Linked DNA regions of Cricetulus griseus. The main gene of each other region encodes a partner of the protein of the gene in region 2 in a complex. Links are inferred from orthologs where the notes say so. Each region holds a gene or a part of one and is shown on either strand. Other genes may lie near its edges.

Region 1 (4,266 bases), about 99 Mb from region 2:
GAAGCCTTGGCTCTGCGGGTCTCATCCCTCTGGAGAGCTGTGGACAGTGTCAAGAGCCATGCTCAGGTCTGGCTGTGGGTCCTACAGAACCAATCACCATGGCCTCCATGAACTAAGTTCACCTCTGTGAACTTGGTGACAGGTGTCAATTTCGTATACTCTTTATTAGTTGCCCCAAAACCCATAGGGTTTTCATTCCTAAGTCAATAATCCCTCCATGTTCTGGCCACTATAAGACAATGGCTTCCCCAAGTTGCAGGTTAGCTCCATGGTAGACTACTTACCTATCATGAATGAAGTTGTGATTCTATTCCCAGCTGGGGGAAGGGGTGGGAGATAGCTTCTTTCATTGATCTTCACTGCCTAGCCCTTCCTCACAATCTTGCAAATAGATTAATGGCTATCTTGGTTTAGCCCTGCACACAGTTCAAACTTTCCAGTTCCCCAAGAACCCAGAAATGCCCTATGTTCCATACATTGGGTGGCTAGTTTATTGTCAACTTGACATAAGCTAGAGCCATTAGAGAAGAGGTAGCCTCAACTGAGAAAATGCTTCCATAAGATCAGGCTGTAGGCAAGATTTTAGGGCATTTTCTTAATTAGTGACTAATGGGGAGGGCCTACCCACTGTGGATGGTGCCACCACTGAGCTGGTGGTCCTGCGTTCTATAAGAAAGCAGGCTGAGCTGGGCATTGGTGGCGCACGCCTTAATCCCAGCACTCGGGAGGCAGAGGCAGGCGGATCTCTGTGAGTCCGAGGCCAGCCTGGTCTCCAGAGCGAGTGTCAGGATAGGCTCCAAAGCTACACAGAGAAACCCTGTCTCGAAAAACCGAAAAACAAAACAAAATAAAACAACAACAACAAAAAGGGAAGCAGGCTGAGCAAGCCATGTGAAGCAAGGCAGTAAGCAGCAACCCTTCATGACCTCTGTATCAGCTCCTGCCTCCAGGATCCTGCCCTACTCGGATTCCTATCCTGACTTTCTTCAATAATAAACAGTGATTTGGAAGCTTAAGCCAAATAAACCCTTTCCTCCCCAAGTTGATTTGGTCATGGTGTTTCATCACAGCAACGATGACCCTAACTAGGACTTCTATCTCTGCCATCTCCTGAGGCTTCAAACTTCTTACCCAAGTGGTCCTGAAGCAGCTCCTTCTCCAGCAGGACCATCCTATGCTTGGCCTCAGCCTCTGCATCTGTTCTGGCAAGACAATAGTCTCAGGTTATCCTTCTCTCGGCCTCACCCCAGTGCTGCTCTGCACCTGCACTTCTTCCTTCGTGATGGAGGAAGATAGCTGGATGAGGGAGGCCCAATGGCAAATCTGACAAATTTACGGCTGAGTGGCAGAGTCTTCACCCACCATGTGCACGGTGGGTGCTCAAAATAAGGGTGAAAAATATGATGAGGGCAAAGAACTAGATGGGGCTCCAGGGGGAATTTGGGAAGGAGGCATTCTCCACTTCCTCAGCCCCATGGAATCTGGACGCAAGGATCTGCAGAGGAGGGCCAGGAAGCTTCACCCTAGCCAAGTGTGGTAGCAACGCCTGTAATCCTGTCACTATGAAGACTGGGGCAGCCTGGGTCCCATAGTGACCCTGTGTCAAAAGAACAAAAGACAAAACCAAAACAAACCCACTCCATTTGTTGCCCAGAGGGCTGGATTCCCTCCGAGGACCTTTGTGTCACAGACACGCCCTGTGACTCACCAGGACTTGATTTTTTTTTCTTCTTCTGTGCCCCAGTTTTTCTCCCCTTTCCTTTGGTTTTAGGTGGCATCCTTGCTGCCCTGGGGGAGGGAAGACCTTCTGTGTAGGTCTGCATACAGAAATGCTCTCCTGACTCCTAGAGGTAGGGGTCTTGGGGCAGTCAGAATTCTAGTCTTCCAGTGTATCTTACACTTTCTAGAAGCTTTGGTTCTTGGTCTCCTGGGAACCCCAGGCAAGGCTGGGAGGTAGAGCAATTCTATGGGCAGCAGACAGCCCTTTTAGAGAAGATAAATCTCTGGACCTGGTCCCTTCTGTCTCCCCAACATGCTTATTCTTCCCCTTCCTACCTGGAGGACCTTCTCTTGCTTGAGTGCTGTCTCCCTGGGGAATAACACTCCTTGGGAAAGATAGAGTCCCAAGCAGATTGAGCCTAGGGAGGAAGGAGCCTGGGTCCTGGGAGCCAATCCAGGCTGAAAAACTTCCCCAAGAGGCAGGACCAAGAACTGGGATGTTGGGTTTCTGGAGACTGCCTGCTGCCCAGGCAACCGGGAAACACTGTGTTCATAGGCAGGTAGAATGGGCTAAATTGACTCACACAAAGGTCCTGTGTAGGTAGATTCCCCTCCTACCCGCAAAGAAAAGGTCTTGGAGCTGAATAGCTATTATTCATGTCTACACAGGCACTGCCTATCATCTGGAGACTTTGCAGTCTAGAAATCTAGAAGCATCCAGTGTGAGAGGCTAGTGCTTTACAGATGGAGAAGAAAGGCAGGGAAAGTAGCCATTGCAGGTACTTTATATCCCGAGGTCTCATGAACACAGTGACATGATTTGCTTTAGAACTTGAGGTCTACTTCAGAAATGCTATCTGTGGCTTGTGCAGGAAACACGTGCTGGCACAGGTAGTTGAGAGTTTTCCACTTAAGAGAAATGAGAACAGAGAAGAGCTGTGGACTTGGGGATGCTGACCCAGAAAGGAGGCCACAAATTAGGCAGAGTTGCGAACTGAGCTACTTAATTTTGCTCAGCTTGGATTTCTTGGTGTATAAGTTTTGTAGTTCCCTCCTGGAGTCCAGTTGTAGAGAGGGAGGAGGGATGAGCAAAGGGGTCAAGACCATGCTGGGGAAACTCACAGAAACAGCTGACCTGAGCAAGTGGGAACACACGGACCCCAGTCTGACATCTGGGGAACCAGCATAGGACCCAACCAGGCCCCCTGAAGATAGGTGTCAGTTGGGAGGCCAGGGCAGTCTATGGGGCCTCTGGCAGTGGAACCGGTATTTATCCTAGTGCACAGACTTTGGGAGCCCATTCCCTATGGAGGGATACTCTCTCAGCCTAGATACATGGGGGAGGGCCTAGGCCTTGCCCCAAATGATGTGACAGACTTTGATGATCCCCCTGGGAAGGCTTTACCCTCCCTGGGGAGTGGACGGCAGTGGGAATGGGATGGGGGTGGGTGGGCATGGGAAGACAGGACCGAGATTGCTATGTAAAATAAGGATATATATATATATATATATTATATATATATATATATAATATATATATATATACTCAGTGGTGTGTTTCTAGGACTTCTTTCTCTCCCGCTCAACAATTGTCTCACTCTCCCTATTTCTCTGTGAGGTTACTCTGCAGACAGGGTGTTTAGAAGCCCCCAAGCTCTCTGCAGCATAGAGTTGGTTAGTGCTCCCTCTAGTGGACTTGCTTTGACCAGAGTCTCCTAAATTTTGCAGTTTAGTATTTCTTGCACAATATGGGGGAGATTCTCTTTGGGGGATGCCTTCTAGCATCTTGCATATGATTTAAAAAATTGATTGTGGGTAGAGAGTGTGATGGGGTAGCTTGCTATTGCCCCCTCCATCTGGGAGGGCTCCATCCTGGAACCGGGCCATTACTGGGCATCACAATGGCATCATACATAGAATGGAACAGTAAGCCTTCCTTCTTCCCTGTGGATTATGGGATCTACAGACTCTTTTTGGGCACTTCTGTCTATTCCAGAATTTTGGTCAACTGCATATTATCAGAAGCAAATCTGCAGAAACAGGTATAAGACGTGGGAGGAAGATCTCTCACCTGTGAAGAAGAAGCAGAAGGTCAATGAGTGTTTATTTAACCCCATGGCACTTTAGAGATCTTAGAAAAGATTTTTAATTTTAATTTTTCATTTCGCTATATGTGTGTGGGTTTGTGCATGTGAGTGCAGTACCCAAAGAGGCTGGAAGAGAGCATTGGAGCACCTAGAGTTGGCCTTACAGGCTGCTGTGGGCAGTCCATCAGTATGGTTGGTGCTAGGAACCAAAGTCGGGGTCTCTGCATGAGCAGTGCTTGCTCTTAACTGCTGGACCATGTCTCCAGCCATCACTCTGTACATTTTGTAGAGGGAAGAGAGGAGTCAGACTTGCCTCTATGGTGCTTACAACCCATGGAACTTGGGGCTGGTGAGCCTTGTGCACACTTCCCAGATATAGAGGACATCTTTCTTCTCACTTTCCACCATGTTTTTATTTATTCTTCCTTCAGAATCTCCTCTTCCTGCCCTAGAATACATG
Region 2 (3,630 bases):
AGAAGAAGAAAACCAGAGGCTGGAGAAGCACTGGCTGCTTTTGCAGGGGACCCAGGTTTGGTTCCCAGCATCCACATGGCAGCTCAAAACCGGGCACAAGGCACACACATAGTTCACATACATATATGCAGGCAAAACTCATACACTCATACACACACACACACACACACACACACACACACCAATTAAACCTAATTTTTTAATTTGTTTTGATACAGAGTTGGAAAAATTATATTTATCATTTTGTACTTATCAATAATAATTCATACAAAAAAGAGTTAACAGCTCTATTAAGAAGAGAGTTTCTGCCAGACAGTGATGGCACACACCTTTAATCCAGCACTTAGGAAGCAGAAACAGGCAGATAGATAGATCTCTGTGAGTTCAAAGCCAGCCTGGTCTCCAGAGCGAGTTCCAGGACCGCCTGAGCTACAAAGAGAAACCCTGTCTGGAAAAAAAAAAAAAGAAGGAGAAGGAAGGAAGGAAGGAGGAGGAGGAGGAGGAAGAGGAGGAGGAGGAGAAGGAAGAAGAAGAAAAAGGAAGAAGAAGAAGAAGAAGAAAGAAAGAAAGAAAGAAAGAAAGTTACAAACTAAAATAGGATGTGGTGGTGCAGATCTGTAAGCCCAGAACTCAGTAGAAAGCAAGAGGCCCAGAAATTTTAGGCCTGCCTGGTTTACACAGTGAGTTCAGACCACTTGGGACTAGAGACTGAAAAAGAAAGAACGCGAAGCAAGAAAAGAAAGAAGAGAGGTAGGGAGAGAGGGAGAATGGGAGAAAAAGAAAAAGAAAAGGGGGAAGAAAGAGGTAGGGAGAGTAAGAGGAAAGGGAGAACAAAAGCTCGTTAACTTGTTCAAGATAATACAGCACCATGGGTTATTTGGGGGGGGGGCTGCTTGTTTGTTTTGCTTTTTTTTTATTTGTTTTTGGGGGGTTTTTTGTTTTGTTTTGGTTTTGGTTTTTCCAGACAGGGTTTCTCTGTGGCTTTGGAGGCTGTCCTGGAACTAGCTCTTGTAGACCAGGCTGTTCTTGAACTCACAGAGATCTGCCTGCCTCTGCCTCCCGAGTGCTGGAACTAAAGGCATGCGCCACCACCAGCCAGCTTGTTTTGGGTTTTTGTTTTTTTGTTTTGTTTTGATTTTTTTCAAGGCAGGGTTTCTCAGTAACTATGGAGCCAGTCCTGGAACTCACTTTGTAGACCAGGCTGGCCTCGAACTCACAGAGATCCACCTGCCTCTGCCTCCAGAGTGTTGGGATCAAAGTCATGTGCCATCACTGCCCAGCTTGTTTTAGTTTATCAAGGCAGGGTTTCTCTGTGTAGCCCTGGTTGTCCTGGAACTTGCTCTGTAGACCAGGCTGGCCATGTTTTAAACTGTGCCACTCCACTTTTGGGACCTTCACAGAAGCAGGTGTCCTCTTTCACACCTGCTGGCTGGTATGATTACCTTCCCTTCTTCTTACCTATCATTCTGAATTTTCTTCAGTGTCTCCAGGTTTATGATGGTCTGCCTGGTAGGCTTCTTTAAGATTAAGTCCTGGCCTCGTTGTTTCATTTCTGACAAAGGAAGAGATAATTTCCTTGTACTTGAGACCGCAGATGGTTTTTCGTGGCTTGCTTTCTGAAAATAAATGGTGTTAAAGATACTGTTTTAGGGGTTAAGAGTACTTATTCTTGCAGAAGACCCATGTGGGGGCTCACAACCATCTGTAACTCCAGTTCCAGGGGACCCACACACCCTCTTCAGACCTCGGTGGGTGTGCATGGTGCACAGACATAGACTCAAACAAAACATTCGTACACATACAAACTAAATAAATCTTAAAAAGAAAGTCTTTAGAGATAATTGTTTTAAAGAGACAACACTTTAAGAGGACTGCTGTGTATTTTTCAACCTTTTTCTCCACTTACATTCCATACTCCAAGAAAACAGACCTTTCTTCAGCCCCATCAAAACATATATCCCACTGTTTCTTGTCTTCCTGCCTCCACACATTCTGTCATCCCCTAACTTAATGCCTGGTGAACTATAAGACAAAGAGCAAAGGTGAAGCTTGGGGCTGAGGGGGTAGGCCCATGATAGAATACATCCTTAACATGTGGAAGGCCCTGGACCCAACCCCAGCATCACAAAGGGTAAAAGAGCAAGAGTCTGATGGTTCTGGCTTGCGATCCTGGCACCTGGGAGGTGGAGGGCAGAAGTCAGGATTTCTGGGTCACCTGGCAGGATATTAAGTTTCAGGCCAGCTTTGGCTAAGGTTGACCCTGCTCAAAACTACAAAGCAACAATCCAAAAATGAACAGTAAAATAACAAATCAACAAAAACCCACAGTGATCTGTAAATTTGCCATATTGTAAGTATAAAATAGCAAGATGAGATCTTGGTTTTTATGAGAGGAGAGACAGTGTCTTAGAGGCATCAGTCCACTTCACACCATTTAATTTATTTATTTATTTATTTATTTATTTATTTATTTATTTACTTTTTTCTTTCTGTATTGGGGATGGAACACCCAGGCTTTGTGCCTGGGCATGTCAGATTCTGAGCTAATCCCTATATCTTCATTTTCTTTCATCTCAAATTCTCCATGGAATAAGGTTGGTAATAAACATGATCATCCCGGGGCTGGAGTTCCTGAGTTCAATTCCCGGCAACCACATGGTGGCTCACAACCAACTGTAATGAGATCTTGTGCCCTCTGCTGGCGTGTAGGGACACATGCAGGCAAAACACAATATACACAGACAGCGTAGTGGCATGGACCTGTGGTCATGGGTAAGGAAGGCTGAGTGGAGTCACGAGAGAACTCACTGGGCAACACAGTGAGACAGACAACAAAACAATATAAAACTATACAATATAAACAAATATAAAACAATATAAAACTACAATAATACAAATACAAATAATACAAATACAAATAATAATACAATAATACAAATACAAATAATACTACAATAATACAAAACAATATAAAACTATACAAAATAAAAGGAGAATTGTACTAAAAAGTGAAAATTGGTACCAAATTTAGTAATGTATTTCAGATCCTGAGGGCTATATAAGAAAAGCCAAAATATTTTTCAGACCTAAATTCAAGTACTGAGGAACCACAAGACATCATTTGTCTCCCAATTGATTCTTAACCTGTGGCTAAATGCTTGGGCTACTGACAGTAACGACACTTTTGGACTGTAAAGCCAGCTTCAGTGTCTCAATCCTGGCTCTGTTTTTTACTAAAATTTATCTGTTTTTTATCTAAAATTTCTGTGCTGCTGTTTTCTCATTGGCAAAATAAACAGCTAATGTTTTAGAAACTATACAAGGAGGGGGAATGGAAATGTAGGAGAAAATGTGGTAATATTCTTTGTCTACTGACCCTACTCTCTTGTCCCCAGACCTCAAACTCCCTTCTCCCTCATTGTGGTCCCCTCTACTCTCCTGTCCTGGGTGAGCGTATATATAAGTTCAGATCTCACCTATGAGAGAATACACACACACACACACACACACACACACAATTCAAAATAAAAGTGAATTGTTTTAAGGGGAAAAAATCACAAGAAGGGCTCCTATTATGCCAGAAAATCTTGTATGTGAAATATCACTATCATAGCTGGGCGTTGGTGGCGC
Region 3 (4,093 bases), on a different chromosome or scaffold from region 2:
ACTATCAGAAACAGAAGTGATCCTATATATGTTACACATATCAGATCCCATACGGGTCTGCCAGGCCCACTAGCACAAGGCGATGAGATTGATCGTTTATTAATTGGAAGTGTGCTAGAAGCCTCAGAATTTCATAAGAAACATCATGTAAATAGCAAAGGTTTGAAAAAGGACTTCTCCATCACTTGGCAACAAGCCAAGGAGATAGTGAGAAACTGTCCTACTTGTTCCTTTTATAACCAAACTCCATTGCCAGCAGGTTGTAATCCTAAGGGCATTCGGAGAAATGAGGTTTGGCAGATGGATGTCTTTCACTTTGCAGAATTTGGAAATTTGAAATATGTGTATCATACTATAGACACGTTCTCAGGGTTCCAATGGGCTACTGCTCTTAACTCTGAAAAAGCTGATTCTGTTATTACACACCTGCTAGAGGTGATGGCAATTATGGATATACCTGCACAAATAAAAATTGACAATGCTCTAGCATATGTCTCCACAAAATTGGAACAGTTTTTCAAATATTATAACAAAAAGCATGTTACTGGTATACCACACAATCCTACGGGACAAGCAGCTGTTGATAGATCTAATAGAACACTTAAGGAGATGCTCAACAAACAAACTTGGAAGACTAAACCCCCCAAACATAGGTTGCATAATGCTTTATTAACACTAAACTTTCTTAATGCCAATGAGAAAGAACAAACAGCTGCAGAAAGACACTGGACTATGGAGAAAACTGCTGAACTGAATCAGCCGATATACTTCAAAGATGTATTAACCTCTGTATGGAAACCAGGACATGTGTTACAGTGGGGTAGGGGTTTTGCATTGGTTTCCACAGGACAAGAAAAACTTTGGATACCATCAAAGTTGATCAAGATTCGAGTTGAAAAGGAAAAACCTCTTGATGAGGAGAAATGACAGGTATTCTACTAAGGTATATCTTATAAATTAAATAGAAACCTCCCAAAGGAAAGGGAAGTGTTTTGCTTTTATCTTCACAGGAAAACTCATCTCCTGAAGGCAAAGGACACTGCATGGGTAGATGCTTAAGAAGAGAAGGTAGCTATAACCATCAAACAAAAGGAACGTGCCATACGGCAAACTTTACAGCTATCTCTCAGAGAACTCGATTTCTCTTTTTCTAGCCCCTATTCAATTAAACCAACGCTGGATTTAGAGGTGGATTTGGCTTTCCTCCTCTAAAATCCAAGCACGTTGTTTAACTAAACTTTAGATTTTCTGTATAGTATCAAGAAGCCAATTGATGTAATACAGAATGATAGAAGAATTTGGGGACTGTCTTTGTCTTTTCTTGGCTCTCTTTCTCAAGGTGTACACCCTCTCATAATCGTTATTCTCCCATGGTTGCCTTTCCTAGTATGTGTACATACACAAGCAACATTTCTCTGCTGTTTATGTTTGAGTCCCACACAGCCAATGAAGACCTGCCTGACAGCAATCCCTCGACACCCTGGAAAGAAAATGGGCCACACCTCCTCAACTGCACTGCATCCAACTTGCTCCATTTCACCTGACACTCCGGCCAAAGCTTTGGGTACTGACTTCAATCAAGTTGAGGATTTCAAGCATGGACTGGATACAATCCATTCAAGACTTTTACTATACTAACATTTTCTTCCTACAGGACCCCATAAGGATGTCGTCATCCCATTTCAGCAGGAAGTAACTTGGAGAATACTACGTCCCCTTTCCCCCATTGTTGTCACTTAAGATAGTGTATATACCTAGTTAGGGATAGTTTCCTATTGTTTATGGTTGGGATTGGAAGGAGGTGTTCGGGCTTGGACACCTCTTTCAGATGACTTTAGGGTTTAGTTAACATAGATAGTTAGGATGTGACATAAGCAGATTGTTGTATCTTCTTATATTTCACCTTTATGATTGTTAATTTTGGATACTTAACACTGTTAAGTTTTACTCCTCTTTTAGACTAAAAGGGGAATTGTAGGGGAAGCTGCCCACTTAGGGGTGTGCCTAACCACGCCTTTGAGGGCGTGGTCAGGGTGATGTAGAGTTCCAGGTTGGGGTTTTGCTTTTGGTTTCACTTTTCGGCTTGCTCTACAGACTGCTGCCATGCAATTTGGCTAGGTCGCTCTGTAAGTAAGGCTTTTCCCTATTAAATATTTCTACTTGGCTCCATACTGGTAATTTCCCACTTTGTCTGTCTGTCTGTCTGTCTGTCTGTCTGTCTCGCTCTGTCTCTGCTCTCTCTCTCTGTCTCTCTGTCTTTCTGTCTCTCTCTGTCTTTCTGTCTCTGTCTCTCTGTCTCTCTGTCTCTGTCTCTCTGTCTCTGTCTCTCTCTCTGTCCATTGGCTGACCCTCACTAGTTGACACTTGCTCTTTCTCCCTGCAGGATGTCACTTCTTCCTTCCTCACACCATCCAGGCTGGCGCCACCATCAATCACCCCGGTCTCCTCGCACCTGCCCCGGGGCCCCTCCCTGCGCCCGCCTTCGGCTTGGCTCCAGTAGGTACCTCACAGATCTGAGGGATGTAGTTGTCCCTGAAGTAGTTCCTCAGTTTGGGGGAGGCACCGCGTAACGAAGCCATGGCCGGAGACCGGACAGAGAAACCGCGGTCTGCCCAATCTGGAAACCTGCGCTTCCAAGGCCAGCCGCGTCGGGGCGTTGCGTGGCAACCACGGAACCAGCCAGGCACAGTCCCCGCCAGCCTGGAGATGGAAATAGAGCCCGAGGGGAGGGGCGGGGCGGAGCATGAAGTGGGCGTGGCCTGGAGCCTGGCAGGTTGGTCCCCACCACCTGGAGACTGAAACTAAAGACTGAGGGGAGGGGGCGGGGCGGAGTGAGAGAGGGCGGGGCAGAATGTAAAGGGGAGGGGCATGCAGCTGGGCGGGGCGGTCCGGGTCAGCCTGGAAATGGAAACTAGAGCCTGAGGGCAGGGGGCGGGGCGGAGTGAGGAGGGCGGGCAGAGTACAAAGGGGCGGCGCGGGGGTGGGGCGAGCTAGAGGAGAACTCAGAGGGGCGGGGCGGGGCGGGGCGGGGCGGGGTGGGGCGGGCGGCCACGAGTGCGGCGGCTCCAGCCAGCCCATCCCGCCGCCCTCCTGGTGATGCAGCGCGCGGGTAGAGGGGCTTCCGACGCTCGCAGGGCGGCTTCCGGAAGGCGGAGCTTCAGCCGCACTTCCTGTCTGCGGTGCTGCTGCCGCTACGTGCGGTGCTGAATCCGCTCCGTGCGACTCGGAGGCAGCGGCGGCATGGGCGGCGCGCGGGACGCGGGCTGGGTGGCGGCAGGGCTGGTCCTGGGCGCCGGCGCCTGCTACTGCATCTACCGGCTGACTCGGGGCCCGCGGCCAGGCGGGCGCAAACTGCGCCCCTCGCGGTCCGCAGGTGAGGCGCTGGGCCGCTCGGCAGGTGCACAGGTTCGGGGCTCGGGACCCCCGCGCTGGGCTGGGCTGGGCTGGGCTGGCCGGGCGGGGCCGGGGGCGCCCTCGGCAGTCACGGCCACTGCCTGTGGTCGCAGGGAGACTGGGTCTGGGTGAGGGGACGTGGGGCGGGCCGGCGGAGCGCTGGAGGTAGACGGTCCTGAGCCCTCCCTGCCCCCCCCCCACCTACTCCTTTGTTTAAGACGAGGGCTGCAAGAAAACATCGCTTCGCAACCGAGAACTAGGGTTTCTCCAAACCGTGTAGATTGCCTGTCGCTGTAAAACCTGTCCCGGGCCTTTGTGTCACCAAAGAGATGCCCCTGACTGCGAGAGGGTTACTGCGGCCTTCAAGCCCAGGCTGAAACTTTGCACGTAGCCGTGTGAAGAAGGGCTCCCTGAGGTGCAATTCTGCCAACACTTATGGGACCTGTCCTGGGGTCCAGCCGTAGCATCCTGCAACTCGGGGTGTATGCAGGAAAAAGACGCTCAGCCGACACGGGTTACAACCTTTGGACAAACAGGGCTTGTAGGTTCAGTCCTGTGGTGGTAAGAGAGGTCCAACAGTTTGCTGCATATGCTAAAGGGATCGTTTAGGTCGTGAAAACTGTTGGGGAAATATTTGAAATAAAGTCTGCCAACTAAAAACCTGCCTTCCTCAGAGGTAGAGAAACTTTTTTGTTTTGTT

The links. The genes of interacting proteins can lie anywhere in the genome.
Region 1: Iqcg (region 2) and Ccdc153 share a complex: the UniProt entries of both Homo sapiens proteins name them as parts of the nexin-dynein regulatory complex. The link is inferred for Cricetulus griseus from reciprocal best matches to the Homo sapiens genes DRC9 and DRC12.
Region 3: Iqcg (region 2) and Fbxl13 share a complex: the UniProt entries of both Homo sapiens proteins name them as parts of the nexin-dynein regulatory complex. The link is inferred for Cricetulus griseus from reciprocal best matches to the Homo sapiens genes DRC9 and FBXL13.

The regions. Positions count from the first base shown.
Region 1 is NC_048597.1:155,926,445-155,930,710, reverse strand, and holds the start of Ccdc153 (coiled-coil domain-containing protein 153), read right to left. Parts: upstream 2,808-4,266; 5' UTR 2,056-2,807; intron 1,789-2,055; 5' UTR 1,779-1,788; coding exon 1,709-1,778; intron 1,683-1,708; exon of another isoform or gene 1,644-1,682; coding exon of another isoform or gene 1,639-1,643; intron 1,203-1,638; coding exon of another isoform or gene 1,198-1,202; coding exon 1,132-1,197; intron 38-1,131; coding exon 1-37. UniProt on the Homo sapiens protein: Component of the nexin-dynein regulatory complex (N-DRC), a key regulator of ciliary/flagellar motility which maintains the alignment and integrity of the distal axoneme and regulates microtubule sliding in motile axonemes.
Region 2 is NC_048597.1:56,503,552-56,507,181, reverse strand, and holds part of Iqcg (dynein regulatory complex protein 9), read right to left. Parts: intron 1,617-3,630; coding exon 1,459-1,616; intron 1-1,458. UniProt on the Homo sapiens protein: Component of the nexin-dynein regulatory complex (N-DRC), a key regulator of ciliary/flagellar motility which maintains the alignment and integrity of the distal axoneme and regulates microtubule sliding in motile axonemes.
Region 3 is NW_023276806.1:172,829,638-172,833,730, reverse strand, and holds the start of Fbxl13 (dynein regulatory complex subunit 6), read right to left. Parts: upstream 2,808-4,093; 5' UTR 2,580-2,807; coding exon 2,505-2,579; intron 2,497-2,504; coding exon of another isoform or gene 2,385-2,496; exon of another isoform or gene 2,384-2,384; intron 2,127-2,383; exon of another isoform or gene 2,111-2,126; intron 1-2,110. Other genes in the region: Armc10 (armadillo repeat-containing protein 10), read left to right, coding at 3,241-3,373. UniProt on the Homo sapiens protein: Substrate-recognition component of the SCF (SKP1-CUL1-F-box protein)-type E3 ubiquitin ligase complex.